2 linked regions of the Tamandua tetradactyla genome follow. The protein of the gene in region 1 binds, or shares a complex with, the protein of each later gene. Links are inferred from orthologs where the notes say so. Each region holds a gene or a part of one and is shown on either strand. Other genes may lie near its edges. The genes, in order: PFN2 and VASP.

Region 1 (16,152 bases):
CAAATGTTCATATTTATAATAGCCCAAATTTGCAAACAACCAAAATGCCCAGCAACAGCAGAATGGATAAATTAAGGTATCATCACACAATGGAATACCATACAGCAATGAGAGTGAGCAAGCTACAACTATGTGAAACAATATAGATGAATCTCACAAACATATTTAAGCAAAAGAAGCCAGATAGAGTCACGAAATGCCCACTGTGTGAGCCCACTAAATAAAGTTCAAAAACAGGCAAAATTATTCTATGACTTCTAATTAGAAATCAGAAAAGCAGTTAAAATTCTGAGGGGACAATAGTGACTAGACGGGGGCAAGAAAAAGCATACCTGGCAATAGACTTGAATAGACAGTTTTCCAAAGAAGATATACAAATGGCCAGAAAGCACATGAAAAGATGATCAAAACCATTAGCCATCAGGGAAACGCAAATCAAAAACAGAATGAGATGCCATTTCACAGCCATTATAATGGCTGCTAATTTTAAAAAAAGGTAAGTGAACGTTGGAGAAGATGCAGAGAAATAGGAACATCAATCATCGCTGGTGGCAATGTAAAATGTGCAACTGTTGTGGAAGACAGTTTGGCAGTTCCTCAGAAAGCTAAGTGTAGAACTACCACATGACCTGGCAATCGAACTACTAGTTATATATCCAAAATAATTGAAAGCGGGGACTTGGACAGGTATTTACACAATGATGCTCACAGTGGCATTATTCGCAGTTGTCAAAAGATGGAAGCAGCCCAAGTGTCCATCAACTGAAGAATGGGTAAATAAAATGTGATATATACATACAACAGAATGTTATTCAGGTATTAAAAAGGAAAGGAGTCCTAATGCCTGTGACAACCTGGATGAGCACTGAAGACATCATGTTGAGTGAAATAAACCAGATGCAAGAGGACAAATATTGTAAGATCTCACTGATTTAAAACAATCAGAATAAGCAAACTCATAGAGTCAGAATCTAGAATAAAGGTTACCAGGTAATGGGGTGGGGATAGGAAATGGGAAGCGGAGGCTTGAAATATAAAGGGCTCCTGTTTGGAATGATGGAAATGTTTTGGTAATGGATGGTGGTGATGGTAGCACAGCATTGTGAATGCAATTAACAGCACTGAAATATATATCTGAATATGATTAAAAGGGAAAATGTCAGCTTGTATATATGGCAACAGGATAAAATTTTTAAAAAAATTAATGGAACTACACTACACAAAGAGTGAACCCTAAGTTAAACCACGGATTTTAACTAATAATACAATTATAGAAATGTGCTTTCATCAATTGTAACAAATGTTCCACACCCATGCAAGGTGTTGATGGTGTGGGTGTATGGGAATCCTGTATCTTATACAACTTTTCTAACAAAGAAAAAAATAGAAAGGGCACTGATATTGTCCTATTTCTTCATCTGGAAGCTGATTAACTGTGGGAGTTCATTTTGTGAAAACTGGCTCACTTTTCTGCATGTATGCTATGCTAAAACAAAAAGAAAAATTAAATCTATATACTCCTATTATAATGAAGGTGTCATCTTTTGTGTAAGGCCAGTCCTATCCTGTGCTTTGGATCTCAGGCTTTCCTACTATCCCTGAGCCCTGAGCGATGATTTATTCTACTTTCCTACTTCTCTACTAGTGCCATCCCTTCAACCTTTACCATGTTTAACACAGCATTCTCTCTTACTCATATGTCCCTCCCTAACTTTTACCTCCCTGTTATTCTCCCCTTTAGTGTCTAAATACTTCAAAGAGGCAAGTCTCAGCTCCTCTTGCCTTCTATATATTTTCGTTCACCTATTGCAATTCGGTTTACTTTCCCATCATTCACCTAAAGCTGTGCTTGCCAAGTTCCGTAAGTGTCCCTTTGCTAATCCAATGATCATCTTTCAATCCTCCTCTTATCTGACTACTCAGTATAATTTGCTACTTTTGACCATTCCTATCATTTGGAAAAATTCCCTTCCTTGTCATCCATGATCCTACACGCTCCTGATTTCTGAGTACTCATATTCAATTTCCATTGTAAACTCTTCTTCCTTTGCTCATTCCTGAGAAGTTATCTGCAATCCAAATGTTACTTCTAAAGTACAGGGCTGCATATCTAACTGTCTGATGAACATTGTCACTTAGATGTCTCACAACTACTGAAAACTCAGTGTCCAAAATCAGCTAAATAGTTCCCTTCTTAAAGTTGCTCATCTTCCCACGTTACTTGTGCCAGTAAAAAGCACCAACCAGTGCCCAAGCCTGTAATGTATGCTCAGTTTGTAGTTATTGAATAAAACATGCAAGATACAGAATTGTGGGTAGGTTTTCTGCTTCTTGCATTATAGTGGACTAGGCAATATAGAGGAATCTTCCTTCTGCAAAAACAATTAGATAACTGGACTAAAAACTTATTTAAATGTTTTTCTTGGTTCTTAAGAATTAGAAACCTTGAGCAAAAACTGGAGCAGGGATGTTTCAGTTTGCTAATATTGCCAGAATGCAATATACCAAAAATGGATTGGCTTTTACAAAGGGCATTTATTAAGTTACAGATTTACAGTTAGTTCTAAGGCATGAAAATGTCCAAACTAAGGCATTCAGTAAAAGATACCTTCACTCTGAAGAAAGACTGATGTCATCTGAGTTTTTCTTTCACATGGCAATGTCTGCTGTCCTTCTCTCCTGGCTTCTGGTTTCAAGTGGTTCTGATTCCAGTAGCTTTCTCTCTAAGGATCTGTGGGTCCTTAGCTTCCACAGGGCAACTCTAAGTTTTGTCTCTTAGCTTAGCATCTCTTAGTCACTTGGTTCACTCTCTCTGTTCTCTGTGTTGGCCCTCTCCAAGTTCTAGCTATTAATTTTAGTGCCCAGAGTATTTCTGTCTGCATCTCCAAACATGTGTGTCTAGGTGTCTGATTTTTGTATTGGATTTGAGATTTCTTTCTCTCCATGAGCTCTTTTAAGGACTCCAGTAAACTAATTAAGGCCCATCTTGAATGGTAGGGTCACTAGTCCATGGAAATAACCTATTCAAAAGGTCACACCCAAACAATCGGTCTACCCCCACACAACTGGATTAGGATTAAAAGAACATGGCTTTTCTGAAGTACATAACAGTTCCAAACCAGCACAAGGGGTGTGTGAGCAGGTTGGAGAAATGGAGTTGTCCCAAGTGCAAATGTCAATAGCAGCTCTGCGGTGGGGAGCTGAACCAGATGCTCCTGTATTTAGGGGGTACCATCAAAAGAGATTAAAGTAGTCCCAGGTTGTTAACAATCCTTGGGACATAGCAGAAGCAGATACAAATCATCCTTGAAAGAAAGCATCCACAATTTAGGCTATTACAATTTTTCACACATTAAGATCAAACAAATGTAAATTCACAATCTAAGATCATAAAGTATTTAAGCAGGTAAGCCACTGTGGGTGGGATAAGAAACAAACTATTTAGATATTTGAATTGCCAGATAAGGACATAGAATAACTAGGTAAGAAATGTTTAAAGAAATAAAATATGGAACCACAAAGACGGGCAAAAAATAAAAGACTATCAGGAATGATGAGAAAGATATACATAAAAATCAAATGGAACTTCTAAAAATGAAAAATATATTTTTAGAAATCAAAAAGTCTTAATGCAGGAGTTTAACAACAGGTTAAACATAGTTGAAGATTGAACTGGAACATATAACTGAAAAAATTATCCAGAATGCAGCACAAGAGGCAAGAAGATGGAAAATATGAAAGAAACTAAAAGACACAGAAAACAGAAGAAAAAAAATTATTCTGAGCCCTAAGAGAGGAGAACAGAATAGGAAAAGGAGTATTTTGAAGAGATAATGACAGAGAATTTTCAGAAGTGATGATAGGTATAAATCTACTTTCTCAAGTAGAATAAAAGAGATCCAGACCTAGAAACATCAAAGTGAAACTATAGAGCAGCAAAGACAAGAGTAGATTTCAAATGTAGCTAGAGAGGACAGATCATACTTAAAAGAATAGTAGCAATGATGAAAATGATAAGAAAATAGAATATCTTCAGAGTGTCAGTCTAACACTGTAGATCCAACCTATTTGTCAAGAATGAAAGTAATATTTCAAGAATGAAAGACGTTTTCAGATAAGCAAAATCAGAGTTTACCACTGCAGAGACTGAATTACATATCCCCAAAAGACATGTTCTTAATCTGTGTACTCATGAGTATGAATTCATTTGTAATAGGACCCTCTGAAGACATGTCATTAGGTAAGGTGTGGCCCAACTGAATCAGCATATTACTTAATCCACATTACCAGCCCTTCATAAGCAGAAGAAATTTGGATGCAGTGAGCCAGAGGAGTCAGAAGCAGAAATTCAGAGGAAACCAGAAGAGCAAACTCAAGGAGAAAGAGATCACCAGGTGACAGGAGACAGAAATCCAAGTCTAGCAACCCCAAGACTCGTGGCAAGCCAGAGGCAGAACACTATCGACAGTGGGGAGAAAGAATGGCCTTACCAATGACTCAATTTTGGACTTAGGACCTCTGAAACTGTGAGCTGATAATGCTTTTGTTTAAACCAACTCATTGTGTGGTATTTGTCATAGCAGCTTGGCAAATTAAGATAACACCAAGAAAATTCCATTAAAGGAACTTCTAAAAGATATGTGTCAGGAAGAAGTAAAATGGTAACATAATGGTCTATGAGAAAGAATGGTAATTAAGTAAAATAGCAAACATAAATGTATAAATACAGCCATAAACAAAAATCTGTTCAAAATAATAATAGTTTGGAGAGAGGGAGCTAGATTTTAAAACCTTTAGACTGTCTAGTGGGAGGGTTTAACATATTAATTAAAATTAAGCTTTGTTCTATTAAATATGCATGGCAAAATTTCAAGGGTAACAATGAATGAATATTACATATAAATTCCAAATGAGTAGATGAAAAAAGATACACGCACACACAATGTCAATTTTTAAAAAGGAAAGGAAAAGAAATAAACATAGAAATAGCGGGACAAATAAAGTTTCTCCAAACAAGTCCAAATATATGTCCATAATCACGATGATTGTAAATGTCAAATTAGATAAAAAGTAAAAATCCAGCTATGTGAAATTCACAACATCTAAAATTTAACGACAGGGAAAATCTGAGAGTTAAAAAAAAAGGTGGAGTGGGGGGGCATACCACATAAATGGCAATAAAAAGAGAACTGGGATACTCACATCAATATTTGACAAAACAGATTTTAAGACAAAAGAAGTATTAGTGATAAAGAGGGTCCTTACTTAACGATAATTCTAAATTCCTATAACAATTTTAACTTGTATGTCCCTAATCAAGTAGCCCCAAAGTATAGAATGCAAGAATGCACAGAATTTTAGGGTAAAATGGACAAATCTAGAATGATGGGTACTCCTTGGGCTTTACTATAAAAATCATAATTAAAACAATGAATGAATACACTCACAAGATAGCATTTTTATTGTGGGAATAAGGGTGGTTTTTCTTCATTTTTAAAACTTCATTTTTTTTTTTACTTTTGTAATTAAAGCACTTTTTCAAAAACTGAAGTATGGACGTGAAAAATGTAGTTAAAGATTTGAGGTAAATTAATTATAGTCTTACTAGGTTTTGGATAATTACATTCTGCAGTTTTAGTTCTTACTCCATCCTTTACAACTTTGAGTATATTTTAATAGTAACAACTTGTTTCTTTGTGTTTTGCTAAAATGTCAAATGATTTACTTATGGATTTAAATGGCTCAGGCACTACTTGACTTACACATTGTAGAATCTGGTTTACTACACAGCTTTTGTCTTACTAAATAAGAATAAAATAACTTTGGGAAGAAAGTATAACACCCTTCAAATTTAAACATGCTGATTGCTGTATCATTCCCAGAATCTGGATTAGGAGAGCCAGGACTTTTCTCAGCTTCTGCCCAGACATTGCTGTTAGTGCTCTAGGAACCAGTTACCTCGAAAAGAGTAGAGAAAGTCAGTAATTCCTCTTTTCTCCTTATTAGTAACTTCAGTTTACCTATCTTCTTAAGACTCAGTATTCTACCTCTATATCCATACTTTTTGAAACATGTTGAGGTAAGCAACAGTTACATGAAATAGGAAACCCATCATCGTATAGAAGTGAAAAATAAGAAAGGATACCAGAAAGAAAAACTGTGGCTCCAAGGAAAACAGGCACAGGATTGTTTAATCACAGTATTGAAAACAGAGACAGTAAAGGGGCCCCTTCTGAATATATATATATAAAAAAAAAAAAACTGTAAAAATCCGGCTAGTCTATGGTAGGAAATATATTTTTCATAGTTGCTTAAATTTTACTTGTACGCCATCCTGAAAATAATAACACTATGTTGGAAAAGTAAAACAGTAATTTTAAAAATATTGTTACATCTTGAAAAATACAGGAAAAATAAAGATTGGAACTCTAAACTTTTATGAATATTTTATCCAATAGATATGTTTTAGAATCTTTTGAGACTTGAGAGTATTAATTCAGTTGATCTAATTCTTATGCTGTTTTAAAGCCAACAATAAAAAAGGGGAACGGAATGCCATTATTTCCAACTTTTTGCTATAACAAGAGGATAACAAAGCCCAGAAACGAAACCTTAAGAATTCAGAATACAGCACTAAACAAAACCCAATTTCAATACACCTCTTTAAACCGTCATCACTCATTTTTCTTTTCCATTGTTACCTTTTTTGCTTACTGTTTAAATTTTCTGAATCATAATGTACATAGAAAAAGGTGAGCAAATCATAAAAATACAGCCTGATGAATTTTCACGAAGTGAACAACATATCCGTGTCATCAGCACCCTGAAACTATCAAAACTTTTAAGACAATAAAATGCTGAGTGAAGGATTAACACCATCAACCACCACCACAAAATGCAGAGTACTAAAAAGAACCGATTATATGTAACTAACTCAGGCGAGAGGCACACGTACAGAAATGACATTCGGGGCACAATTTTATACCATTTAGATACTGTGTCGTCAAAGCAAGAGAAAAATAATTGTTCCAGCCTGCCAGGTCCCTGACTTGGGGCTCTCCCGGTGTGCGTTTTTCCTCCTCCCTCCCTTTGGTAGCTGTGCATTTCAAAGGAGAAAAACACAAAACCCCAGAATCAATGACACTGCTTTAGCACCTTTCCTAACTGAGCCACAGTCTCGAAGTCCTGTCAGATTGTGACCCTACACGATGACACTAAAGATGACTATCAATTCTCAGGGCTCTAAAGGCACGTCCTCCGCCCCATGACCGGCAGACGGCACACCCTGAGACTGAGGTCACTGCTGGGGGCGTCCGGCCGCGGCGCCCGGGGGTCCCTGAATTCGCTGTGCGGCGGCACCCAGATCACCCGCCAGCAACCCTTACACACGAGCCTTCCCCAGACCCGGGTCCCGAAGCCACTTCACCCTTCAGGAGCAGACATGCCACGGTGTTCATTCAGGGAAACCTTCCCTAGATTTGTGTTCTTTGTATTTTCGGCGACCTCTTCAGCTCATCAGTAACTCTCCTAGTTTCTACCAGTTTGCACAGGAAGCTGTTTGTTCTGCTCGAGGTTTGGAGGTGTTTAGTCACACACCACACGTGACGGGCGACGAGGGGCTCTTCCCCGCAGAGAATCCACAGAGCGCGCGGCTCCTTGTGCCCACAGGAGGCAACAAGGCGGGATCCGCACAGCCACCAACGTCCGCTCGGATCGCAGCTCCCCGAAGCGCGCCCGCTGGGTCGTTTTTACGGCCCACGGACAGAGGCGTTTGCGAGAGAGGAGTTCCACGGGGGCGCCTGGGATAAGCTGGGGGGCTACCTGCCGGCGGCCGCCCCCACCACTGGGCGGGGAAGCGCTCGGCATCCCGTCACCACGACAACCCTGCGATCCGACCCCCAGGCTCGCGACCTCGGCATCCCAGACTTCGGGCGAAGGAGAGAAGAGGTGCAACACAGAGGAGACTCCGAGACATCCCTACCGCCGCCGCGGTCGCCAGGACGCCGAGGGCGATGGGGGCGACGCCCTCCCCGCCGCCCGGGTCCAAGGCTCAGCCGCCCCCAGGCACCCAGCAATTCCCAGACAGCGCTTCTCGCACGTGGCAACCGTGATTGTCCCAGAGCGGTATCCCTCCGCGCCCCGCCGCGCCCCTCCCCCCTCCCTTCCCGGGACCCTCCGTGTCCGGGCGCCGCGGAAGGATCACACGCACACGCGCGCACGCTCCGCCGGCCGCGGCGAGCTAAAGGTGCCGCGCTGAAGAGAAGCCGCCGTCGCTATCGCCGCCGCTGTGGGCAGCGCAGCTCCGCAGTCTCCCGCCGTTGGTTAGCCGGCCTCGCGGCTGCGGGTGGACAACTGGCCCGGGCGCTCTCGGCGGCTGCCTCTCCTTGCCGGCCCCGCGTCCTCCCGCCGCAGCTCCTCGGGGAGGGGGGCGGTCGGTACTTGCGCAGAGCCGCCTCCTCCCCGCCCCCGCCCCGCCTCCTCCCGCGCTGCCGCCGCCCGCCACAGCCGCCGCTGCGCCTGCTGCTCCTCGCCGTCCCCGCTGCAGTGCGAAGGGCTCGAAGATGGCCGGTTGGCAGAGCTACGTGGATAACCTGATGTGTGATGGCTGCTGCCAGGAGGCCGCCATTGTCGGCTACTGCGACGCCAAATACGTCTGGGCAGCCACAGCCGGGGGCGTCTTCCAGAGCATTACGGTGAGGACCCGCGGGCGGCCCGGACCCCATCCCCGGCCCCGCCGGCCGACCGCGCCGCAGCCCGGGGCTAGGCAGGAAGGGCCACGCCGGCAGGTGTGCGAGGAGGCGGGCGCCGAGGCCAGAGCCAGGGGACGCCCCCTCGCCTGGGCTGCCCTGACAGTCGGAGGAGGCGGCCGGGCTCCCCACTGCCCGCGCCTGCCGGGGCCCGGCGTCCCCCGCGTCCCCGGTGCAGCTGTGGGTGCCCGGCTGGGGGGAGGGGTCGCCCCGGGCGGGCGGGGGTGTTTTATCTGCTCTCTGCGGCTCCCCAGAACCTCTGGAAGTCCGGGGTTTGCTTTGCCTGTCCCAGGGTGGACACGGGGTCCGGGGGTTCTGGGCCTGGGAGCTCAGGGTGCGGGTGGGGGTCCTCGGGCCGTAGGGCCACCGCGCCGTACCGACAGTGCTCCTCCCGCGCAGCGGGGCTGGAGGAGGCGGCCCGGCCCCCGGGATTCTCGAAGCGGCTTTGCGTAGATGTGCTGGTGTCCAGGCCTCCGGGGCTTGAGAGAAATGTACGCCAACCACGTAGGTGGATTCGTGAATCTCGACTTCGGCTCTGGCACTGTGGGATTTTTTTTTTTTTTTTTAATTCTCCAAGATGGCGAACTGCCATTGATTTCTCTCCTCCTGTGGAGATTTATCGATATACCGTTATCTCCAGTTACGCAACATAGCTCTAAAAAGGGGATGCATTTAGGGTTTTTGATAATCTGGGAAGACCGGTGACACTTCACTTCTCCAAGCCCCTCCCTCCTTAGTGATGGTATTAAAGGAACTAATGCAGATTTATGCTTCACAGTGCGGTTTTGTTGTGACTTGATGGCTTTGACTTGGTTGCCACATGTTTGGGACATATTTAGTCACCGGGCCTCCAGCGCTGCTTATTGTTTTGCCTATTTCTGCCCAAGGCTCTATCTCAAATTGTGAAATTGAATTACGAGCCCATTCTCTAATTTCTTAGTCCCACTCTCTCTTCCCACCAAACACTAAGATTGGTGCTACTAATTATCCCTTTACTACTTAACACGGTTTAAGATTTAATGGTACAAAACTCGGTCCTTCATGGTAGTACTTGCAGGTCTCCTGTACCCTTTGTGGGCTACAATTAAAGACAATTGGCATCTGATGATCAACTTTTTCTCTACAGTCTTCTTGTCTTTGTGTGCGAGTTCCCGCTGTATGGCTGGAAAGATTGCGGGAGTGTGCTTGGAAATGGCTGGGGCCTGCTATGACTCTGCAGTTCTGATGGGGGCGACGCCTTCCTTCTTATTCATGGAATTTTAGAATGCATGCTTTCTCCTTTCCGGTTCTGATGGCTACCTCAGTTTCTTTCCCAGTCTCCCTCCATTTTCTCTATTCCTTTACCATTGCCTACTGCAGTGTTACACATAGAATCCTCTTTGCTTTTGTCCAGAGAGTAAACTGATTACTAAAATGGGAAGGGATACTGGAAACAAAGAGTAGTAGTTAGAAAAAAAAGGGATGAAGGAAATAGGAATTTGGAAAATGCACTGAGGTCTGATTGTTAAAGTTCATACCCTAGGGAATATTTCCAGCTATCCAGAGTAGAAAAGGGAACATATTTGCTAGAGCAGGGGCCTAATTTAGGCAGGCTTTCAAACAACTTTTAAGTGTGGTGCAGCAACATTGTGATGTTACTAATATGATAGACAAGCTGTTGTTGAAAGAGTTTATAGCTGAATCTTTACTATTAGATAAGCACCTTCAGGCACCACTTGACACAGTTTATAAATAACTCAAGTTTGCAATTTGTCTAGTGTCCAACTACCAACTATTTAGAGAAATTTTTTGTAAAGGTTGATTTTTAATTAGCAGACTACTGTTAATAGTGAAATCAGAACAACTGACATGAAATATTATTCAAATACAATTTTTTTGGAAAATACTGAGACTGAATCTTGATTTTAGATTCGTGAAGTGTCTTATAGTGGTGGTAGTACAAACTTGGCGTACAATCTTTCCTGTTATATTGAGACCTGAAAGGAATTAACTATAACTTCATGTGTTTTTTTTTTCTTTTTCTTCTTTCTTTTTTTGGGGGCAGCCAATAGAAATAGATATGATTGTAGGAAAAGACCGGGAAGGTTTCTTTACCAATGGTTTGACTCTTGGTGCAAAGAAGTGCTCAGTGATCAGAGATAGTCTATATGTCGATGGTGACTGCACAATGGACATCCGGACAAAAAGTCAAGGTGGAGAGCCAACATACAACGTTGCGGTAGGCAGAGCTGGTAGAGGTAAGCAAAGTGCTCTTTTAGTTAAAAATTGCATGCCACATTACAACTTATTGAGCAGTTTCTTTAACATTTTGAATGAAGATGTTAGTCCATAATGGCTATTAAGGTGGTTTTTGAGAACTGCCCAGCACTGAAGGGAGGCACTACTTTCATTTATTTACTGTATGCAGCTGCACATAGATCCTAGACTCTGATTATGACTTTAATCTAAAACAGAGTATCATATCAGTTTTTTCATTTTCAGCTTTACAAACTTAAAATCTAAATTTTTCTCATTAAACTGCTTGACATGTGGAGTGATAATCCTGTGGTATATCCAGATTGTTAAATTGTACATCATTTGTTTAATTTAGTTCAATTCTCTGATATTTGGAACTCTTCCTTCTCTTTCTTGCTTGCATTTTAATCTTTTCACTAAGAATAGAGAAGGAAAAATTAAAATTGGTTCACTTTTCTTTTCCTGGGGAGAGAGATAATTAGCATGATGGTTTTGGAGGAAATTGTCCCATTCACTAAAATATTTAAAATTGTTAGTAAAATATTTTCAAAGATTATGTTTCTGAGGTTTACACTTATAAAGTATAGGAAATAACATTTAATTTGTTTAATTGGTCCCCAGTTCTGGTGCTCCTGATGTCAAAATCGCAGAAAGTCTTAATTCACTAAAGGATTCTTTTACTGCTCTTTTGAAAGAAACTTTCTAGAAATTGAGGCTTATCCTGGCATCTGATTTATTTACAAATACATTTAAATGTGTTAACCTTTGTAAATATTGTGTAAATCAAGAGGGTTTCTGTCATCTCAGGTAACAAACTTAGCACATCCAATATTAAGACCAGATCTGGTATGTGAAGGGATTTGAAGTAGTCCTGAGCTGTAATTTAATGCTGTGGTTTTGCTGACTCCCTATGGTTGTCCAAAAGGTTACGCTTAATCTGTGGGAGTTGATATTTATGAATGTTTCTGTATGGAAAGATTAGGTGATTCTGAATAGTAGATCTCTAAACATTAGCTGAGCTCAGGCAAATGCAAAAAAGTATCAACCATGTGTCATTAAACCCCGAGATTTACGTACCACATAACACTACTGACATCTAGCGGCAGTGAATATAAAATTTGACATATACAGACATTTTGGGGAGAAACTGAATTGCATCCTAGAAGAACCTGTTGTGACAAATAGTGAACTGTTGTTACAAGTAGTAAACCTGTTTCAGTATTTTAGACAGCTAAAAACAAAGCTAGCACAGTTAGGATATCAGGAGGTATACAAGCTTTAAATACTTGTAATTTGTTCCTTTCAAAATGACACTGAAAAGGCTATTTGAAATTTGGTCTCATTTTTCCTCTGGAAGTGATAGGCACATTTAGCCTCACTGATGAATCTTAATAGTTTGTACTTATCAAGCATTTCAGATTTTGGAAACATTTTGTAAATATATAATTTCTGTAACTTTTTAAAGTTTATTTTTCTGTGGCTAATATTTGTGCCACATCAGCCAGATGTTTTTTCCCCTAGAATTGAAGATAAAGTGATCAGGCTTTTTTTTTTTTTTTCTAGCTAGTGTACAGATAGTTGTGTAGAGCTCTGCAGCTGCATTGATTAGACTTCCAGGATACAGCCAGGGTTTACTGTTGGTCTGTTTTTAGCATATTATTACTAGCTTTAAAATTATCTTTTTTTGGAGACCTAATTGACTTCAGTGCTTGACAGTTCATGGAAAACTAACTTAATGTTAACTTATTAAACTGGGTTCTGTCTGCTAAAACTTAAGTGACTTTTCTTGATTAACACTTCTTTTGAAACACTTTTCTTCTTTCTCTTTCAGTCTTGGTCTTTGTAATGGGAAAAGAAGGGGTCCATGGAGGCGGATTGAATAAGAAGGCATACTCAATGGCAAAATACTTGAGAGACTCTGGGTTCTAGCTGCTAGGCAGACTGTTTAAGTATTAGGGGAAAATTGCTCTTAAACTTTCCTAGCTGTAAGCTTGAGTCTTAATTCTGGAAACTTTATTAGCAATGCAGGGTGATGGGGTATGAACCTGTGTCTCCTTTGTATCCCTCTGTTGGTGGGGAAAGGTGTCTTTCTTTCTGCCCTCCCCCCCCTTAAATAATTCTGTTCACTTTTGTTTTGTTTCCTTGTGTACTCCAGCATTGGTTATAGTCATGGGAAAGGAAGGTGTCCACGGAGGCACACTTAACAAGAAAGCATATGAACTCGCTTTATACCTGAGGAGGTCTGATGTGTAAGCAGCCTCTCCCCATCTACCTAGCAACTGTCTTCATCACCACCCAATTATGTTCACAGTGCTACCAGACTATAGATGGTGGCTAATTTTTCTTTACCAATTTTGAAATGTCATGATTCCTGTTTGCCCAATGGATCATCTGTATGTTAATCACTGTATGTAACCAACCCTTATCTGGCAACATAATTGCAGCACAATAATGATTTGCATGATACCTTGAAATTTGGGGGGAGGGGGCATGCCAAGTTGGGCATCATTTTGTATTAGCAATTAATGGGATATTGATTACTAAAATAAGTTAATATTAAGCAAGGTGCCAGTGTACAATCTCTAATTTGATCAGTGTCTTCAGCACTTTGAGCTTTTACTTGGCTCACTTAGTCTTCCTTTTGTAGCGCATGATTGGGAGGAAAAAGTGCATGCATCTTTCCTTACTCCTCTCTTTTCCCACCCCTCCCTTTGCACATAAAGTATTTGGTTTGCTTTCATCTTATCTTAGCAGTGCCTGGTTTATTTAACCAATTAATACCCTTTTTGTTGATGAGCTACTGAGAGCTGCAGTAGTTTGCTTTTAGTATTGTTGTTGCACTTGAGTTAGAGACAAACTTTTTCATAGTATCCATAGGACATATGAAGAGTACAACTGCAAAACAAGAGCAAAAGGCACTTCCTCCCATGACTTTACAGTAAAACATACTGATTGAATCCCCAGGGACATTCCATCATTACAGTAGCTCAGATTTTTGGTTCCTGTCTTTTTCTTTGCACACCAGCTCTACTCTTTAGTAAAATTGTAAAAGGCTGCCATTATGGACATTAGGTGTCCCAACATAACCATCTGGAGTGTGTCCAGTTTGTTATTCATAGGACCAATTTTTATTTGCAGCTTAAGTTTTTATATGAAGTTGCATTATTGTGGACTTGGCTGTCTTGTGATGACTTTTTTTTCCCACATGTATTCTGTGCCATACTATTGTTAAAATGAACTGTTGCTATTGTGAGATGGATTTTAACTGACTTACTGAGGATTTCTTTCGAATGGCACTACTTTAGGGATATTCTAGTATTTGCTTTCATTGTTTGGGCCTTGTGGATAATGTACAGATTTAAAAACAAATCTTGTTGCTGATTTGTCCATTTCTTTCCCTGCACTTTGTTACATCTGGGATACAGTCTAACTCATCTGATTTAATATGCATTTAAAAAAATGCCATAACTATTAAACACCTTGTTTACAGACAGATGAAATAAATTTATTCCAACCAAATAATCTAGACTCTTGTTGTTTATATAAATTAACTTACTGTTACAGTTGATTTTTGACATAGTGGAAATATACAAAATAGGCCAAAGTTTGCTATAGCTACAAAATCTTAACAATTGAAAATTTAGTTGATGGCCTACTTCATTTCAGGTAGTATCTATTATAAATAAAATTAGTGCCTAGGAATTTCTGATGGGCATTGATCTATTAAAAATGACTTCCAGTGATTTCAGGCTCATATTCAGGCTTATTAGAGGAAAACTGACTTATTTTATTGAAAATAAGTATTTTCCTCTTGAGGCTGGTCTCCAGTGAAATCTGGGTGGTGAAAGGGCCCAAGAACCAAGAAGGGTTTCTGCTCAGTTGTGGATCCTTCTGTGTTGAAACATCTTTTGACTTTAGACTTGGAGGCTGTGTTGGCAGGCTGGGGTCAGCCAGCTGGTATTTTCCTACATAGGAGCAGAAGACATTCCCTAGGGAGCATATAAGAGCATTGGGATGCTTCTGCGGTTCCTGATTTTGGAGTGGCATGTTAACTGATGGCTGTACCCTGGGATGCATTGAAGTTTAGAAACTATGTGAAGTTTAATATTCTTTAAATAAGTCATTATCATGAGCTGTCAAGCCAGAAGCTCAGCAAAGGTGCTGAAAAGTCAGTGGGTCTAATCAAAACTGGGGAGGTGGGTTCTGAGGATCCCCTCGGAGATGAAGATTCCTTAGGCCCCAGGGAGTTGCTTTTGAGAAACAATCTCCAGGTCACTCGGATTTCCATGGCTTGTTTCTCAAAGACTATCCTTTGAGAAACTGGTTTAGGGAATAAGTAGTAATATCCTTGCCGTACTTATATGAAGAATAACTAAAAGTTTTTCTTTACCAGTGTTGTCAGGCATTAGTAGTCATGAATCTGACTACATATGAAGATGTAAAAGTATGGAAGACAGGATTTGGGGCTATTTTAGTAGTTGGGCGTATCCCAGAAATCATAAAACATCATCAAGAAAAACCTGCTATCAGTTTGTTGACCTGTTAAGATCTCTGTTGGGGACAGAAGGGTGGACAAATGAAAATTTGGCTGTTGGGTTGTGATGATTTGAGATGTTACAGTAATACACATTCATATTTCATTTGTGAAGAATTATTAGGGTGGTTAATTATAGGCAGTGACCAAAGTTGTGAAATCCTTAACTAACCTAATAAGTAGGTGAGGTAGTGGGTAGGGGGACGCAAATAGGGAATTAAAAGACACAGGTCCACTGTATGTATATAAGTAATTACTTATAATAACCAAACTTGGCAAACTTTACAAGGTTCAAATTGGAGAAGTATAGGTTGAATGATTGTAAATCCATCCATAAGGATAAAACAGTCGCTGAAGTGCCAGAGACCCAGGTTTGATTCCTGGTGCCTGCCCATGCAAAAATTAAAAGTCACCTAAGAATGATAGCAGAAAATGTTAACCATTGAATGTTAAATAATATGAGGATATAAACAGATTTTACACATAATGTAAATATAAATAGTATAAAATAATAATATGTATTTTACATATTTCTGAAGGTACCATATCAAGATGTTTATGCCTGGGATAAAGGTTCCAGGTGACTGATTTTTGAGTTTATGCCTGGGATAAAGGTCCCAGGTGACTATATTTTTG
Region 2 (15,232 bases), on another chromosome or scaffold:
AGAGTCCTCCCCTGATCCCGCTCCCCGGGCCGCCCAGCCCAGCTGGTCCAGCCGGAGCCTCAGGTCCTCCAGGGGGTGCTCAGCAGGAACGGCGGCGTCCAGGGCTCCGCGGCGCCCTGGCTCCGGGGATTGGCTCAGGCTGGGGATGCTCTCCAAGCTGTCGCCCAGGCCGGGCTGAGCGGGCGGCTCTCGCGGCTCCGAGACGGAGCGACCTTGGGGCCGAGGGCGACGCGCAGCCGAGTCCCGACGGCCGCCAGAGCCCACTGCGCTGTCGAAAGCAATGTAGGAGAAGGTCAGCTCCCGAGGGGTGCCCCAATCCTGCGACGTCGTCTCCTCCTCGTCGTCCTCCGAGAATTCCCGGGCTGTGTGCAGCTCCCGAAAATCTGAGTCGTCGTTCCCTCCTACAGTGGATGGGGGGCCGTGAGCTTCTGTCACCTGAACCCTGGCAGACTCTCCCCAAGCCTCTACCCAGCTATGAGCGTCCTTCAAGTCCCACCACGCGTGCTCGCACACACACCCTTACCTTCTGTGGAATCAGGGGTAGAGGAGGCTGTAGACGGAGCTTCTTCTACGAAAAGGAAAGAATCAAAGAGTCTTAGAAACTGGGATTGTCCAAATCACAGTGCCTGCCAGTCCTGGAATTGTGGATGGTCCAAATTAAGGGATCTTAGAATGTCTGAATCAAAGCACCCTTAGAACATTCTGCATACAGACTAAAATTCTAGCCTCACTAGTATCTCAGGGTCTTAAGAGTTCAAATCCAGAAATCTTAATCTTAGAGTCTTCAATTTAGGGATCTTGGAAGGTTTCAACTCATCATTGTCTCAACAGTCATTTATTGAGCATTTACTGAGGCCCTGAGGGTACAGCCGTGAAGAAAACAGACACAAATTTCTGCTTTCATAAAGCTTACATGCTATGGGGGAGACAGTAAACAAGTAGACATAAGATATGGGGGTGCTGAAATGTGCATAGAAAAAATTCAGCAGAGTAAGGTGTTAGAAAGTGAAGGGGAGGCTATTTCAGACATGAGAGGTAGGGAGGTTTCTCTGATAAGATGACATTTGAGAAGAGACCTGAATGAAATGAGGAAGCCAGGCAGATATCTAGGAAAGAGCATTCCAGGTAGCTAGCACAGGTAGTGCAAAGGTCCTGAGGCAGGCACTATTCTTGGCACATTTGAGGAAGAGAGGTGTGACTGGAAAGAGTGACTGAGAGGAAGAGAAAGGGAGCTGAAGGCAGAAGGGAAAGGGTGCAGATGTTAGAATGTTGGATTGGCAACCTAGAATATTGAAAGAGCCAATTTTTAGAAATTTGGCATCTGGACTCTCAGGATACAGGAGTGGCTGGATCTGAGCCTGTTGGAATCCCCAGCTATCAGAACCACAGGGCGTGGGACACTGAATGTTACACATGGATTGTTAGAGCCATTGGCTCAGATCGTGAGGATCAGACAAGGCGTTTTCCTTTTGGAATCCAGCCCCTCAGAAGTGGCTCCGGATTTTGCATACAGGAGATGCTCAATATTGAAATCGGACATCTCGCGCCCCCCACGCCCCTATTTCGCTTCCTCAGCGGGGGAATCAGAGGCTCGCAGCAGCGTGGGCCTCCGGCAGTGTTACCGTTAATAAGTGGTACAGCCTGCTAAGGAAGGACCTAGTGGCTCCAATGCAGGGATGGTTGCCGCTCGTGGACAGGGGCTGGACGGTTGGAGGATTTGAACAATTTGGTCCAGGTTGCCTCCAAGTCTGGGCCCAAAAGGAAGGTGGGATGCGAAGACAGGAGGTGGGGGATAGACACCTCACCCCCATCCTGACTCTACCGCTCCACTCCACACCTTCTTCCCTCCGGCTGCGGCCAGCACCAGGGAGATGGGACAGCTCCCCGCGCTGGTCCTCAAGCCCCGGCAGGGTCCGGAAGCACATCCCAGCGCCAGTGCGCCCCACGCCAGCTTTTCAGGTTCCCACCTCCGCCCCGTCTCACCCAGGTCCTCCGGGTCAGGCCGCCCCCACCGCCGCCAGAGCGCGGGGGGAGGGGAGCGCTTCCTTTGTCTCCTTCGTCTCCTTCCCCCATCCCAGCTCTCCCGGGGCCGCGCGCGGAGAGGATACCAAGGAGGGCCCCACCCGGGCCTCCGGGCCCCACACCAGGCCCGAGCCTCGCTCTACTCACTGCAGTGGGCGAAGACCGGCAGGACCTGCCCCATGGCCCCCCTCGGGCCTGCATCGGGACCCCCGCCCACTCCGGCCGCGCCGCCCTGGGCCCAGGGCCGCGAGCGCTCATCTCCGTCGCGCCCACGCCGCAGCCTCCATCCTCTTCCTTTTCTTGGACCGCTCCAGCCGCCGCCGCCGCCGCCCTCTGTACGGCGCGGCTGGGGCGGGCGGGGCAGCGGTGGGGAAAGGCACTGCAGCGCGGGGACCGTGGGCGGAGCCAGAGAAACAGGAGGGGCGGAGCCGGTGGGCGGGCGAGGGGGCGGGGAAGCACCGAGGCGCGTTAGGGTTGAGGGTGTGGTGGGGGGCGGGGAAAGCGCGGGAGGGGGAAGGACGAAGGGCTGTGTCTTGACTTTAGGGGGCGTGCCTTTGGGGGTCCGAAGCTGGGGTAGGTTGAGGGCTGGGAGAGAGAAAGAGGAAGGAGCCTAGGCAAAGAGAATGGAGGAGTGCACCTCAGAGTGGGCTGGGGCGCTAGGGGCAACACCGATAAATTGATGGAAAGGTTCTAATAATCGGAGGTAGGCTCCGAACCGAGATTAGCAGAGGGAGTGGAGCCAGGGAAAGGAAGAGGTAAGAAACTACTCAGTTTCGAGGCAAAGACAAAGAGGAGGAGCTAAAAGATGGGAGGAGCTACGCCAATTTAGAATATTCAGATAATTGGGCGGGGTCATGCCTGAGAAGTCAGAGCAGAGGCCGGGCTGAGAGGGAATAGGAAAGAAAACGGAAGGGAGGGGACCCGAATGTGGACTTAACCTGGAGAGAGGAGGCCCCCTGAGACAAGCCAGAGTATGGGGGCTGGGCCTGGGGTTAAGAGGCGGGGGTAGAGACGGGGCTAGCATTGCAAAATTAGAGGGGGTCTGAGGCCCTAGAATTGAATGGACAGACTAGACCCGGAAAGAAACAAGAGGTCAGAAGGGAGGGATCTAACCAAAAAAGTCAGGGATTTTTGAAGTTGGGGGCGGCATCGCTGAGGCGGGAGGAGTTTGAATAGAACAGGGCTGGGGATCAGAAGCCAAAAGCGTGTTGTGGTTAACAGCACGGATTCTAGAATTCGATTCCCGATGACACCAAGTCATCGGCTATGAGTTGGTGTTTCTTTATGACTCTTGTCTCTTCTCTAAATTGAAAACAATGATGTAAAATAGTGTGTGGCACATTGTAAGTGTTAGACCATCGTTTTCTATTATTGTGGCTTTCCTGACCCAGATCCCAAAGCCAGCCCGCTTTGAAGATGCGGGAGAGCAGAGTTCCTTCAAGCAACTCGACTTGAAGTACAGGTCAGGGGCATAGGAAGGGAATTTAGGTGCTTTAAAATCTCATAACAGAGCGAATTAATGGCGGGGGTGGGACGGTTAGGTGGGGACAGCTGTAGAGGATGATCCCACCAGAGAAGGATGGCGGCCCTCACCCGCCTGCAGGAGGGTCTCCTCTGGCCAGCTCCCAAGGAAGAGGAGGAGACGGAGCGCAGCACACCGGGCGGGCCTCAGTCCCTCTAGGCGGCGCCGCGTTGCGCTCAGCGGCTACATGGGGGTGTGGCGGCGGCGTGGGGCCTGCGCTTCGAGGAGAGCGCTGAGCAGGGCTGGAGCGCGCTCATGGAGGATGCGCAGTGCGCTTGGCTAGCACTGCCCGAGCTGCCTCCTGGCTGGGCCTTCTTTGCGGTCTGGACCGCCACCGCGGGGCGCGAGCCGCCCTTTTTGGCGCTCGCCGCCTGTCGGGCCACGTGCACGAAGCGCTGGGCCCGGCGCCCTGGGAGCCAGAGATGTGCTCCCAGCGGTGCGCCGCGCCTTCCTGAGCGCGGACGCGCGCTTGCGTGGGCTCTGGCCCCGCGGCGAGCCGGGCGGCTCCACCGCCTAAGCGCTGTTGGTTTCCCGGCGCTTCCTGTATCTGGCGCACTGCGGTGACTCCCGCGCGGAAGTGAACCGTGCCGGCGCCCTGGTCTTCAGCACCAAGGACTATCAGCCCATCCAACCCCGAGAGCGCGAGCGCATCCACGACGCGGGCTGCACCGTCTGCCGCCGGCGCCTAGAGGGCTTTCTTGCCGTGTCGCGAGCGCTGGGCGACTTTGCCTACAAGGAGGCTCCAGGGAGGCCCCCCGAACTGCAACTCGTGTCCGCGGAGCCCGAGGTGGCCGCCTTGGCCCGCCAGACAGAGGACGGCGTATGGGACGTTATATATGTCAGAGCCCTGGCAGAACTGGTGGCCTCGCCTCCGCTTGGGCCTGGCGCCGGAGCTTCTCTGCGCGCAGCTGTTGGCACGTGTCTGTGCAAGGTCCTGGGGGTAGAGTGTGGAGGGGACGGCATTTGGGATAAATGGGGCTTGGCGCTGGGAGGAGGGGTTTTTCTAGAAAGCAGGAGAAAAACTAGAGGAGCGGTGGAATTTCACTAAAGGGCGTGGCCTGTTGGAAAGGGGCAGAGCCAAATTACGCCGAGGAGAGAGCGTGAGGGATGCCTTGAATTTGGATGGGAGAGTAGTGGGGTTTAGATTGGTTAGTGAGAGAGATTTAAGAGAAAGCGTGGTCTTTTGGAAAGGGGAGAAGCAGGGATGGAGGGCGGGGCCTGAGAAATGATGGGTACCTGATGAAGGAAGAGCAGTTGGACTGCAAAGTGGGTGGAGCTCCGGGGAAAGGGCGTGGCCCTCTGCTACAGGGCGGGACTAGGACAGCTAGACAGTGCTGAAAGGTTCTGGTAGAAGGAGACCCGCAGATACCCGGGCCTTCAGCGAAATGGGGATCACGGATTCGGGAGGAGGGCCCAGAACAGCAGGACTGTAAGGAAGGCGGAGACCCGGCCTGGGGTTTTCAACCCTCTCCCGCCGGGCTCCCTTTTCTTCTCTACCTTCGCCAGGGCAGCCTGGATAACAAGACCTGCATCCTCGTTTGCTTCCCGGGGGCGTCCGGGCCTTGTGAGGAGGCGATCCGGGTGGAGCTAGCGCTGTACACCGCCCTGGGACACAGGGTCGCGGGTGAGTTAGCTCCGGGAGCCCAATGGGAGGGAAGGTCGGCAAACAGGGGTTCCCCCATTACTCTCATCTCCCTCTCAGAGCTGTGCACCCTTGCCCAGGAGACCCCCAGCCTGAACACGATTTTCAGGACTCTGGCCTCGGAGGACATCCTGGATTTACCCCCCAGGGGGAGGGCTGGACTGTAAGTGAGTGGAGGTGGGTTGGGGAGGGGTTTGGGGGAGGGGTAGTAGGTGGAGGGTCCCCTCCTGAGGGCCTCCCCCTGCTCCCCAGGGCCACTGTGATCGCTGAAGCATATGCTCAGATCTGTCACTCAGAAGAGTGCTGGGAGGTAAGGCCCCTGTGTTCTTGAATGTTTCTCTTAGTCCCTCTCTCCCCTTTAGAGATGGGGAAAGTGAGGCCACAGAGGAAAAGCAACTTGCCTGCTCTATTAGTAAATTCCTACCCCTGACCCGGAAGCACTTTGCCTCAAAGTGGCATAACAATGGGCTACAGAAGAGAAAGAACTTCCCTTCCAAAAAATACACCTCCTGGAAATGCTCTGTAAAGCCCCATCATCCCAGGCACAGCCCCCTGGAATGTCTTATCCCCTAGGAATAAGATAAATTCTGGAAATGGTAACAAGGACCCCAAGGCCTGGGGTGCCCTGCAGAGACTATCAAGATGACATCCTGAGGATGGATGACCCAGGTCTCCAATGGCTAGAGGAGAGGTGGCACGGTGGGGTGTGTGGGGCATCAGGGAGGAAATGAAAGGGGGGGAAGCTGGAAATCACATCCCAGAGGACTTTGCATGATTGGGGGAGGGCATCTGGTTTTTTGTTCTTCAGACAAAGGGGGATTGTTGATGGGTTTTCAGTAGCCAAGGATGGTATTGGTCACGATTGTTTGATTTGTGAATGATAGAAACCCAAGGCAACCAGGGTAAAGCAAACAGGAAATTTACTGGGTCACACACAAAACTGGAAAGCTCAGGAACTTAAGGTGGCTGGAGCCATTTCTCAGATGATCTCATCAGGGACCCATCTCTTAGCTCTCTGTTCTGAGGTAGTAGAGAGCTGCAGCACATCCCACCAGCTTACACTCGTGGTGGAGAGAGTGGGCCTGTTTCCCAGAAGTTCTAGCAATCCTCCCAGAGCTGGTTCTCATTGACCAAACTGGGCCACATGCATGACTGGTTACTATGCCTCTTACTGTGTCACGTGCCCAACCTAGCACTGGGGATTGGGGTCCTCTCCACCCAAACCTGATTGATTGAGAGATGGGAAAGGGTGGCCCTTCAAAGGAAAAGAGGGTGCTGCTTCCAGAAGACAGGCAAGTGGAGGCTGAGAAGGCAGGAAAGGGTTCCTATTCACTGTCTCCCACATTTTGTGTTACAGCTGGGACAGAGCAGGGCTGGGGAGCCGACCAGCACCCATCAGGCTCTGCCTTGGGTCTGGAGGCCTGACAGCTGTCATCCTTTGGAGACTCTCCACCCAGCTGGGGCCTCAACGGAACTAAGGAAGAAAACCGCTCCCTTCCCCAGCTACATGGACCAACGGAAGAGAGACAGGCTGATGGAAGAACCCCAGAATGCTTATTTCCCTCTCTCCTAGTTCCCCATCAATGAAAAGTCAGTTCAATAACCTTCCCTTTCCTTCCCATTCTTCCTGTGGTTTTGAGGGGAGGGTAGAAGGGCAGTTTTTTTTTTTCTTTATTATTAAATTTTAATTACAGAGGCAATTCAAAATGCATTTTTTTTCTTGTAGAAAACAAACATCATTTACGCAGTCACTTGGCAAATATGCATTGGCCATACATATTTGTGAGTCCTTGCTCACACCATGAAGAAGGTAGATCCACCGAGCCCTACTCCTGGGGACCTCCTGGGGGGGAGGGGGAGGTGGGACAGCAAACAGGCGTGCCAAATAAATAAGGTCATCTCAGACACTGATGAGTGTCATGGGGAAAATAAAACAAGGTGGTGTGATAAAAAGGCTAGGGGAGCTACTTTGGTTGTTTAAATTGGTATTCATCTATTTCCTCAATGGGTAATACATTCACTTAGTTTGAAATTCAGAAGGTGCAAAATGGCATAGTGTGAGAAGTCTGATGGAAAAGGAGCCAGATATGCGAACAGCCCAGGGAATGGTATTCCAAGGTTCAGGTAACAGCCAATGCAGAGGCTGGCATTTTGGAGATAAGGTTTGGGATCTCTGTGACTACCAAGGACCCCATAATCCCATCCGTATTTCCAAGGGTAAACTACAGTCATGAGTCAGGAGTGAACTTTTCCAGGTTTTTCATTCTGCCTGTAAACATATGTACATGTACTCTAGCAAATATATGATACCTTTGGTGTTTCCTTGCTTGGTTTCAGACTGTATCACTTGGCAACTTACTTTTCCCACTTGACAATATGTTGGAGACTTTTTCCATGTTATTGCACGCATTCTTTTAGCGGCTGTACAGTGCTTCAGAGAAGATGTGCAATGGTTTAGCTATCTCTCTTCCTGTTGCTGGACATTTAGGCTATTTCCAATTCCTTGCCCTAAGAGCATTGCTGCCACAAAGATCAGGCTCCTTGTGTTTATAAGCAAAGATTTCTCCAGTGCAGGAGTCTTGCTCCCCATTTTGTATGACACTTGAGCTAAGAATGCTTTTTATATTTCTACACAGTTGTTTGAAAAATAATAATAATATGCAAAAGAGATCTCATGTGAACCACAAAGCTCAAATATTTACTATATTAGACCTTTATAGAAAAAGTTGGCTGACCCCAGAAGTGCCACCCTTCCCATTTCACAGATGGAAAAGTTGAGACCCAGAGAAAAGACTTGCCAAAGTCACACAGAACTGGGGTTCTCATTCAGTTGGATAAATGTTTGTTTGCCCCAGCTCAGACCTTGCTGGGCTGGGTGAGGCCCAGAAGTCGATCAAGTCTACCCCTGCCCCCAAAGAACTCACAGCCCCAGGAAACACAGTTACACACAATTACAATCTAGGTGCTTCAGGGCTCAAGGTCCCCAGGGCAGCTGGAGGAGGGGACGAGGTTACTCGATTCCCCAGAGAAGAATCAAAGTAATAGCTTGGTCTAGAAGGGTGAGCCCCTAGGTGACGGACCCGACTGCATCCTAGCCTAGCTTGGACAAGGGCTGGGAAGGTTGATTTCCTCACCTGCTCTGTTGGGCCACGAGAATTTTGGTTTCACAATCACACCTCGGCTTTTGCAAGCGGGCCATAATCCAAATTTGTCCCTTCCTCCGGGCCTCAGTTTACCCGTTTGTTAAGGTCGAACTCCCGATTTGCCAGACGCCAGCCCTCCGGCTAAGGCACTTCACGCGGGCCAGGGGGCGCTCTTTGGAGGGTGTGGTCACATCGGTGACGTCACTCGGGGCGGGGCCTGCGGGACCCGCTGCGGAAGCCTAGGACTGTGTTTGAGCTCAGCCCGGGGCCGGCGCATTGGAGAGGGAGGTCTCAGGAACCGGCACCCGGGAGGATCTCCCGACCTCTGGGCTCTCCCGGCTGCTGGGATGATCCGTCTGTCCTCTGCGAGCGAAACTGAATCAGGGCGGGGTGTACCTGTGGAAAGGGCCAAAGGCCGGAGTCCCAGCCCGAGCCAGGGCCGGCGTCGGCCCCCACCCCACCCCCGCCCGCCTCGCCAACCACTCAACTCTACCCCCACCCCCGACCCTGCGGCTGTGAGTCAGCGACCGGCCGCGCCCCCTCGGCCCACTTCCTCCTCATCTTCCTCCCGCGGGCGAGGCGGGCGGGGGGCGGTGAGAGGGGCGGGGCCCTGCCCACCCGTCCCCTTCCTGCGCGGGGATCGGGGGGCACCCCTCAGTAACCCCTTATAGCTTGGCAGTGAAGACAAGAGATGCTGAGGGTCCTAAGGTGGCGTTTCAGGACGAAAATGTGAGGAAGTCACATTTTCCTTAACAGAGGGTTCTGCTTCCTTCTCCCCCACCCCCAAAATTGAGCCTAAGATAAAGAAATGGGGAGATCGATGGGGGGAGGGTGAGAAGGAAGAAATCGTGCCCCCATTTAGATCCCCCTAAGAAGTCCTATCCTGGGGGAGAACTACGGAACAAGGAAGGACCCTTTCCCTCCACCTAGCATCACCCCAATTTGGGGGTGACCCCCAGAGTGCATCCCTGTGCAATAACTTCGGGGCAGAGGGAAATAGCGGAAGTGGAGGGTCTACGTTGCCCTTTTAAGCGCCCTCCACCCCTCCCCTCTCCGCCTCGCGGTGGCCGCGGCCCCTTTAAGGCGCGGGGCATTGTGGGTGCGGGGAGTGGAATTTTGGAACGAAATGTAGCGAAGAGAAGTACAGTAGTAAGAGTAACGTTGTAGCCGCTGCCCGCCCGGGGGGCGCGCCGGGGAGGGCACGCCGCACCCGCTTTCTGCTTCAGGGACCCCCATCAAACCCCCAAGGGAAGGAGGCGCCCGAGGACCCGCCCCATCCCGGTCCACGTTCCCCCCAGGAAGCCGGACTCTATGGGGCGGGACCCTGGGGGAGACTGAGCAGAACGTGGAGCCAGCCCCGAACCCCTGAACCTCCAGCCAGGGGCGCCCCGGGAGTCCCCAGCCGGTGGGCGCGCCACCCGCCAGCCGAGCAGCCATGAGGTGAGCAGTGAACTGCCTCCGACCTTCCCCGCCCTGCGCGGGCTCCCCGCCCCGCCTTTGTCCCCCCTCCCCCAGCTCTCTCCGGGATGCAATTTGGGGACCCGGCACTGGGAGCCTCAGATTTGGAGCCGAACCCCTTTGGACGAGCTCCAAGTTATGGTCAGTTCCCCATGACTTCCAAGACTCGGTGTGGTGCCGGTGAGGTTCTCTCTTAGGAGCACTCAGATTTGGGGGCTCTCCGAATTTTAGATTTCCTCCCGGGATCTCCAAGTTGGCAGATTCTCCCTGCACGGATACCCAGAATTTAGGCAGGGCGTAGAGTCTCCCCCGAACCTCAACTTGAAGTCTGGGAGGGATTGTGGGGGGCTGGGTTGGGGGATCCGGGGTCTCGGAAGAGAGGCTAAGACATAGAGCCCGGTTACTGGGGTTCCTCTTTACTTGGTGCTGGAAAAAGTCTCCCCAAGTGGAAACGCGCTCCCTAACTTCAGGGTACTTCTTAATCCCTTGCATTTTGGGGGGGCGGGGCGGGAGGACATTCAGAACCTCCTGTGGAGAGGAGGTTGGTGCGGATGGACGGACCCGGATGCAGCCTCGAGGGTCTGGTTGGGACTCCCCTTTCCCGTCCCTCTCGGTCCAGAATCGTTCCGTGCCCTAGACGGAGCGAGCGCCGAGGGCGGCTCCCGGGCTTGGGGCCAGAAGGGCGGTCCCTCTCCCCCACCTGCGCGGCTCTGGGGAAGGAGGGGCGTCGCGGCAGCTGGGGGACGGGGGCCTTTGTCTTCCTGACTCACCTGTCGAGACAGCTGGTGTGGGGGGCGGGCTAGAAGCGCCCTGGGCCGGCTGCTTTCCCCACCCCGACCCCTCCCTCGTCACCCGTAACCCTCCTCCTGCCAGGCTCTCGGGAGCTATGAGGTTGGTGGGGGGGTGCAAGAAAGCTTCAAGGTCATAGCCCTCTCCCCCTGGGACCCAGGCTTGCCAGATAGTTCCAGCTGTCTTCTTAGGAATTTAATCCTGGGATGGGGGTGGCCCAAGGGATCCAGAGATTTTGTTTTACCAGCCCCCACCCCCCCAAAAAAAGTCCTGAACTCACCTGACGCCGGGAACTGGGGCGGGCTGCCCAGACTAGCCCACCATACTCTCCACCTCCCCCCCTGCCCCCGGCCCCCCATCCTAATTCCCTTGGGGCTGCAGCCTGACAATACTATCTCCCTTCCTCCAAGCTCTCAGAGACTTCCTGCCCCAAAGCCCCCAGCCTGAGGGGGAGGCCCCTGGGGACAGCTGGGGATTAACCCCCGGGTGCCCACACACTCCCATTTCCCCCACACTCCTGCCCTCTGACATCGGGGTGGCATTCCTGTTTATGACCATTAGGGCCGCCCCCTCCGGTTTGAGCCTTCTGATGGGAAAGGGATGGTTTGGAGCCAGGGGGGGCACCCATTGACACCCTCAAGGCTTCCTGCCTATCCTTCCCCACCCCCCACCCCCAGTGACATCCATGTCCCCTCTAGGTCTGCCCAGGATGGGGGGAAGGGTACGGTGTGCAGTAGCTAGGCTCTCTTCACCCTCTTCCCCCGGGACTCCCCTCTCCCACTGCCCCCAGCCCCACCCCCACCCGCGCGTTTCCGGTCCCAGGCACCGAGGAAGGCGGATGGCGGATGTCCGAGTTAGTGCTGCCTCACTCGCTGCGAGACCGTAAAAGGGCAGGAGCAGCAGCAGCAGCGCCCGGGCCGGGCCTCTGCCCCCCCCACCCCACCCCTGGCCCTCCCAAAGGGGCCCCCTCCTGCTGGGGCTGTGGCCAAACCTCTCGCCTGCTGGGGGTGGGGTGGAGTGGCAGGCCGAAGTTGAAGAGGGTCACTCCTACTTCCTGAGGGGTCTCCTCTGCAGGCCACTAAATCCACCTTCTTGGGCTGTACCTCTTCTGCAGGTACAGCTGGGATTCCAGACCCAGGTCCCTAACCCCAGCTGGGGAAACTGAGGCACAGAGAGACAGGCCTGGCTCAAGGTCACTCTGCAAATCCTAGGCAATTGGTAGGGGTGGGGCGGTGGGTGGGGTGGGGTGCTGGGGTCCATTCCTCAGATTTCTGGGTTGTTTGCCTGGGTTCACTTGTGGGGGCAGCTGGAAGGGAGGATGTTAAAATGGAAAATTACAAGATAAATTGCTTTTTCTCCCAGTTTGACAAATATTTGTCGAATGTCTGCTGTGTACCGTACTCTGAGCTGGGATTCTGGGAGGGCCAGAAAGGGGGAACAGAGTTCTGAGCATCTGGGGTGGAAGGAACTCAGGAAGAAATCGCATTCATTTTGTTCCTTTTCCAATAGTGGTAATTATTATTATTTTTATGAATTAAAAAGAAGGGCCTTTGATCACACATCTGCTTTGTGCTAGGTACTGTACTAGGTGCCTGATTCTTCTTAATCCTCACAAAAGTCCTAAGAGCTTGGCACTTTTACGACCCTCTCACCCCAGTTTATAGATGGGAAAACTGAGAAACTGAGAAGCTAAGCAAATTGCCTGTGGAAGTTAAACTGTTTGGAAGTGGCCAAGCAGAGTTTGAATCCAGGGCTGTCTGTCTCCCAACTATCATGTTATTAAAGAAAGGGGAAAATAAAACCTTTATTTATTAAGTACAAATAACCCACTTTCACTATAGGAACACTTAAGATAATACAGATAAATAAAAAGAAATGGGCAGGAAACTTTACCTTCCTGTTCACTTGTGGGAAACTGAGGGCCATGGGGGAAGGGAGACTAGAATGAAGACACAAGCCCCACAGGCAGGGCTGGGACTCCCGATCTGGTTTCCTACCCCAGGTTGCCTCAACTCCAGGAAGATTTGCGGTTTGGGAAGCTTTTGTGTATGGGGGAGGGAGGGCAGGAGGAGGGGGTGTCACAAGTTTTATGACATAAGGAGGCTATGGGGTAAGTCTTGGGCAGGGGATAAAGGGAAGAGCAGGACTCTAGTCTGGAAAGTTTGAGTAAACCTGAGTCTCTGTGCTTGATTACCTCCAATGATTAGGAAGCTCTTTCCCTCCCGTTCCAACTCCCAATTCTCTTGTGTGGAGGGTGTGCTGTGTTCTAGGCCCTGTGTGGAGGGTTTTTGCCCATTACCTTTTTCTTTTTTTACATGGGCAGGCACTGGGAATTGAACATGGTCTCTGGCATAGCAGGTGAGAACTCTGCATGCTGAGCTACCATGGCCCGCCCCCCATGACCTGTTTTAATCCTCATTACAAGTACAATGAATTATGGTTTCCGGGACTGGAAACCATAATTTTCTGAGGTTCCGAGAGGTGAAGCCATACAACAGGGAGGTAACTTGAATCTTTCTGCATCCACCCAGTGCTAGAGTTTTTCAAAATGTGACTTCTGGCGGGGGTGGGGGGGTGGGGGCAGGTCCTGGTCACCCCAGGGGTTAAGGCTCTTCCATGTCGCCACATCGAGGGGTGTGAGACCACTGGAGCCAGGTGGATCCTGCCTGCTTTTATCTCGCCACCACTACCGCCCCCCCGCCCCCCACTTCCTGGCTGTACGATTTTCTGTTTTGCCTTTAACCAGTATATAGAGTTTTAGCTTTTTACACTTAAGTAACGACTTACTTTAAACAGGTAATACCAGCCCAAGGTAGCATAATCATCAAGCAGTTCAAATGGGTAAAGAGTGCAAAATACCTGTTTCCTCCCTCCCCAGGGCCCCAAGCTCCTTCTCAGAAGGCAGCCACAGTTCATCTCCTGCGAAGCAGCCTCTGCGTATATCACCACTCTGCAGAAGTATTTATATCTCCCCACCTTTTTTTTAAACCTCTGATACACACCACTTTGTATCTTGCCTTTTAGAAATTGTAACTTGGCTGTTTTCTCACCTATAAATGAGGTTAAGAACTTGGGTGGATGTGCATTCAAATCCTAGCCCCTCTGCTTACTTGCTCTGTGGCCTGGGGAAGGTGTCTTCACCTCTCTGTGCCCACATTTCTTCATCTGTCAAGAGGGTATAACGTCAGAGCTGAGCTCCTGAGGTGGTTGTGAGGTTCAGTAGGGAAATCAGAGCCTAGGGTCTAGAACAGTGTCTGGGACCCAGTCAAACTGAAAAATGGCAGCTGACGTGAAGAACTTTTCCAGTTATTTAACAGACGTGTTTATGTAACTACTAGGTGCTGTGTGCTATTCTAGGTCCTGGGGCACAGCAGTGGACAAAAGGGACAAATGTGGACCTGGCATTCTGGTGGGAGAGGGAATTAGTAAACAGAAATACCATATCAAATAAGGATGGCTACTATGAAGAAACGTACAGCTGGGGTGAGAGAGGAGAGTATCCATTCTAGACAGGGTAGTCAGGGGGGCTTCTCAGAAGAGGCGGCATCTAAACAGAAACCCGAAGGAGAGGGAAATCTAGGCTTGAGGAAGAACAAGTCCATAGGCCCTGAGGCAGGAGTGTATCCGGCATGTTGAAGGAGCAGCACAGAGGCCAGTGGGACTGGCCTAGAGCAAGCCAGTGTGGGGGGCAGATCAAAAAGATATGGGGGTAGGGAGGCAACAGAGTGCACAGGCAGTGGTTCCTCTGCAGGAGCCAGGAGACCGTCAGGGGTACTTTTGAGAAGAGGAGGGATATAATGGGATTTGTATTTTCACAGGATCCCTCTGTGCTGATGGGGACACACTGACTTGGCGAGGACAGGAGCAGTCCCCGGGTCCCGCAGCAGGCGCCCAGCTCTCCGGCCAAGCCAGAGACTCAGCAGAGCAGGGCCCCCTGGGAGAGCAAAGTGCAGTCAGGGTGGGGCCATGCCAGCAGCCCTGGGCATCTGGCCAGTCTGCCCTGGGCGTGGGTGGCAGGTGTGGGCGAGGCCATAGCCCTGCCAGGGGCATTGCAGAAATGGCCCCCGAGGCTGTGCTTGTCATGAAGCAGCACCTGGTGAGGGGTAGGGATCCTGCAGTTCCTGGTAGTTTATACACTGTGGCCTTGGAAACCCAGGAGCCTGGGTTCAAATCCTTCTGTACTCACTAGCTGTGTGGTTTGGGCAAGTCACTCAGCCTCTCTGGGCCCCAGTTTGCAGTCCACACCTGCAAAATGAGGGCAGAATAATAGTGCTCACTTCAGTGAGAATGACATGAGTGGTTCTGGGTAAAGGGTTTAGAAGCCTGAAGCACTTAAGAAGAGGGAACTGCCACAATTATGTAAACTTGGTGTGAGGGGTCAGCTGCCGACCAAATGACCTGGTTTTGGTTCTATTGAGGGTCTGTCCCTGCCCTGTTCCTGGGGGCTGGGGCTGGGGAGGGAGGCCTTTCACAGCCATGGCACCCCAGGGCACCCTGTACGCACCCTCCCTCAACAGAGCCATTATAGGGGTATAATTTTTCTCCCCTGAAACCTCCAACCACCAACTTCCTCTTTTCAGGAAAAAACCTGTGGGGGTGGGGCGGGGGCCAGAGCTTCCCCTTGGTCTGTGTGTGACTTTGGGCAAGTCACTTCCC

Evidence for each region.
Region 2: the proteins of PFN2 (region 1) and VASP are in contact, whole or in part, in a crystal structure (PDB 2V8C), measured with the Mus musculus proteins. The link is inferred for Tamandua tetradactyla from reciprocal best matches to the Homo sapiens genes PFN2 and VASP. Residues at the interface, in NP_062283.1 of Mus musculus: Gly3, Trp4, Ser6, Tyr7, Asn10, Cys13, Tyr30, Trp32, Met131, Tyr134, Ser138, Phe140; in NP_033525.2 of Mus musculus: Gly165, Pro166, Pro167, Pro168, Pro169, Pro170, Gly171, Pro172, Pro173, Pro174, Pro175, Pro176.

The regions. Positions count from the first base shown.
Region 1 is NC_135331.1:43,205,032-43,221,183, reverse strand, and holds PFN2 (profilin-2), read left to right. Parts: upstream 1-8,480; 5' UTR 8,481-8,561; coding exon 8,562-8,693; intron 8,694-10,791; coding exon 10,792-10,984; intron 10,985-12,813; coding exon of another isoform or gene 12,814-12,911; exon of another isoform or gene 12,912-13,137; coding exon 13,138-13,235; 3' UTR 13,236-14,504; downstream 14,505-16,152. UniProt on the Homo sapiens protein: Binds to actin and affects the structure of the cytoskeleton. At high concentrations, profilin prevents the polymerization of actin, whereas it enhances it at low concentrations. By binding to PIP2, it inhibits the formation of IP3 and DG.
Region 2 is NC_135342.1:15,507,157-15,522,388, reverse strand, and holds the start of VASP (vasodilator-stimulated phosphoprotein), read left to right. Parts: upstream 1-9,414; 5' UTR 9,415-9,764; coding exon 9,765-9,769; intron 9,770-11,537; exon of another isoform or gene 11,538-11,690; intron 11,691-15,232. Other genes in the region: RTN2 (reticulon-2), read right to left, coding at 1-401, 524-568, 2,170-2,203. UniProt on the Homo sapiens protein: Ena/VASP proteins are actin-associated proteins involved in a range of processes dependent on cytoskeleton remodeling and cell polarity such as axon guidance, lamellipodial and filopodial dynamics, platelet activation and cell migration.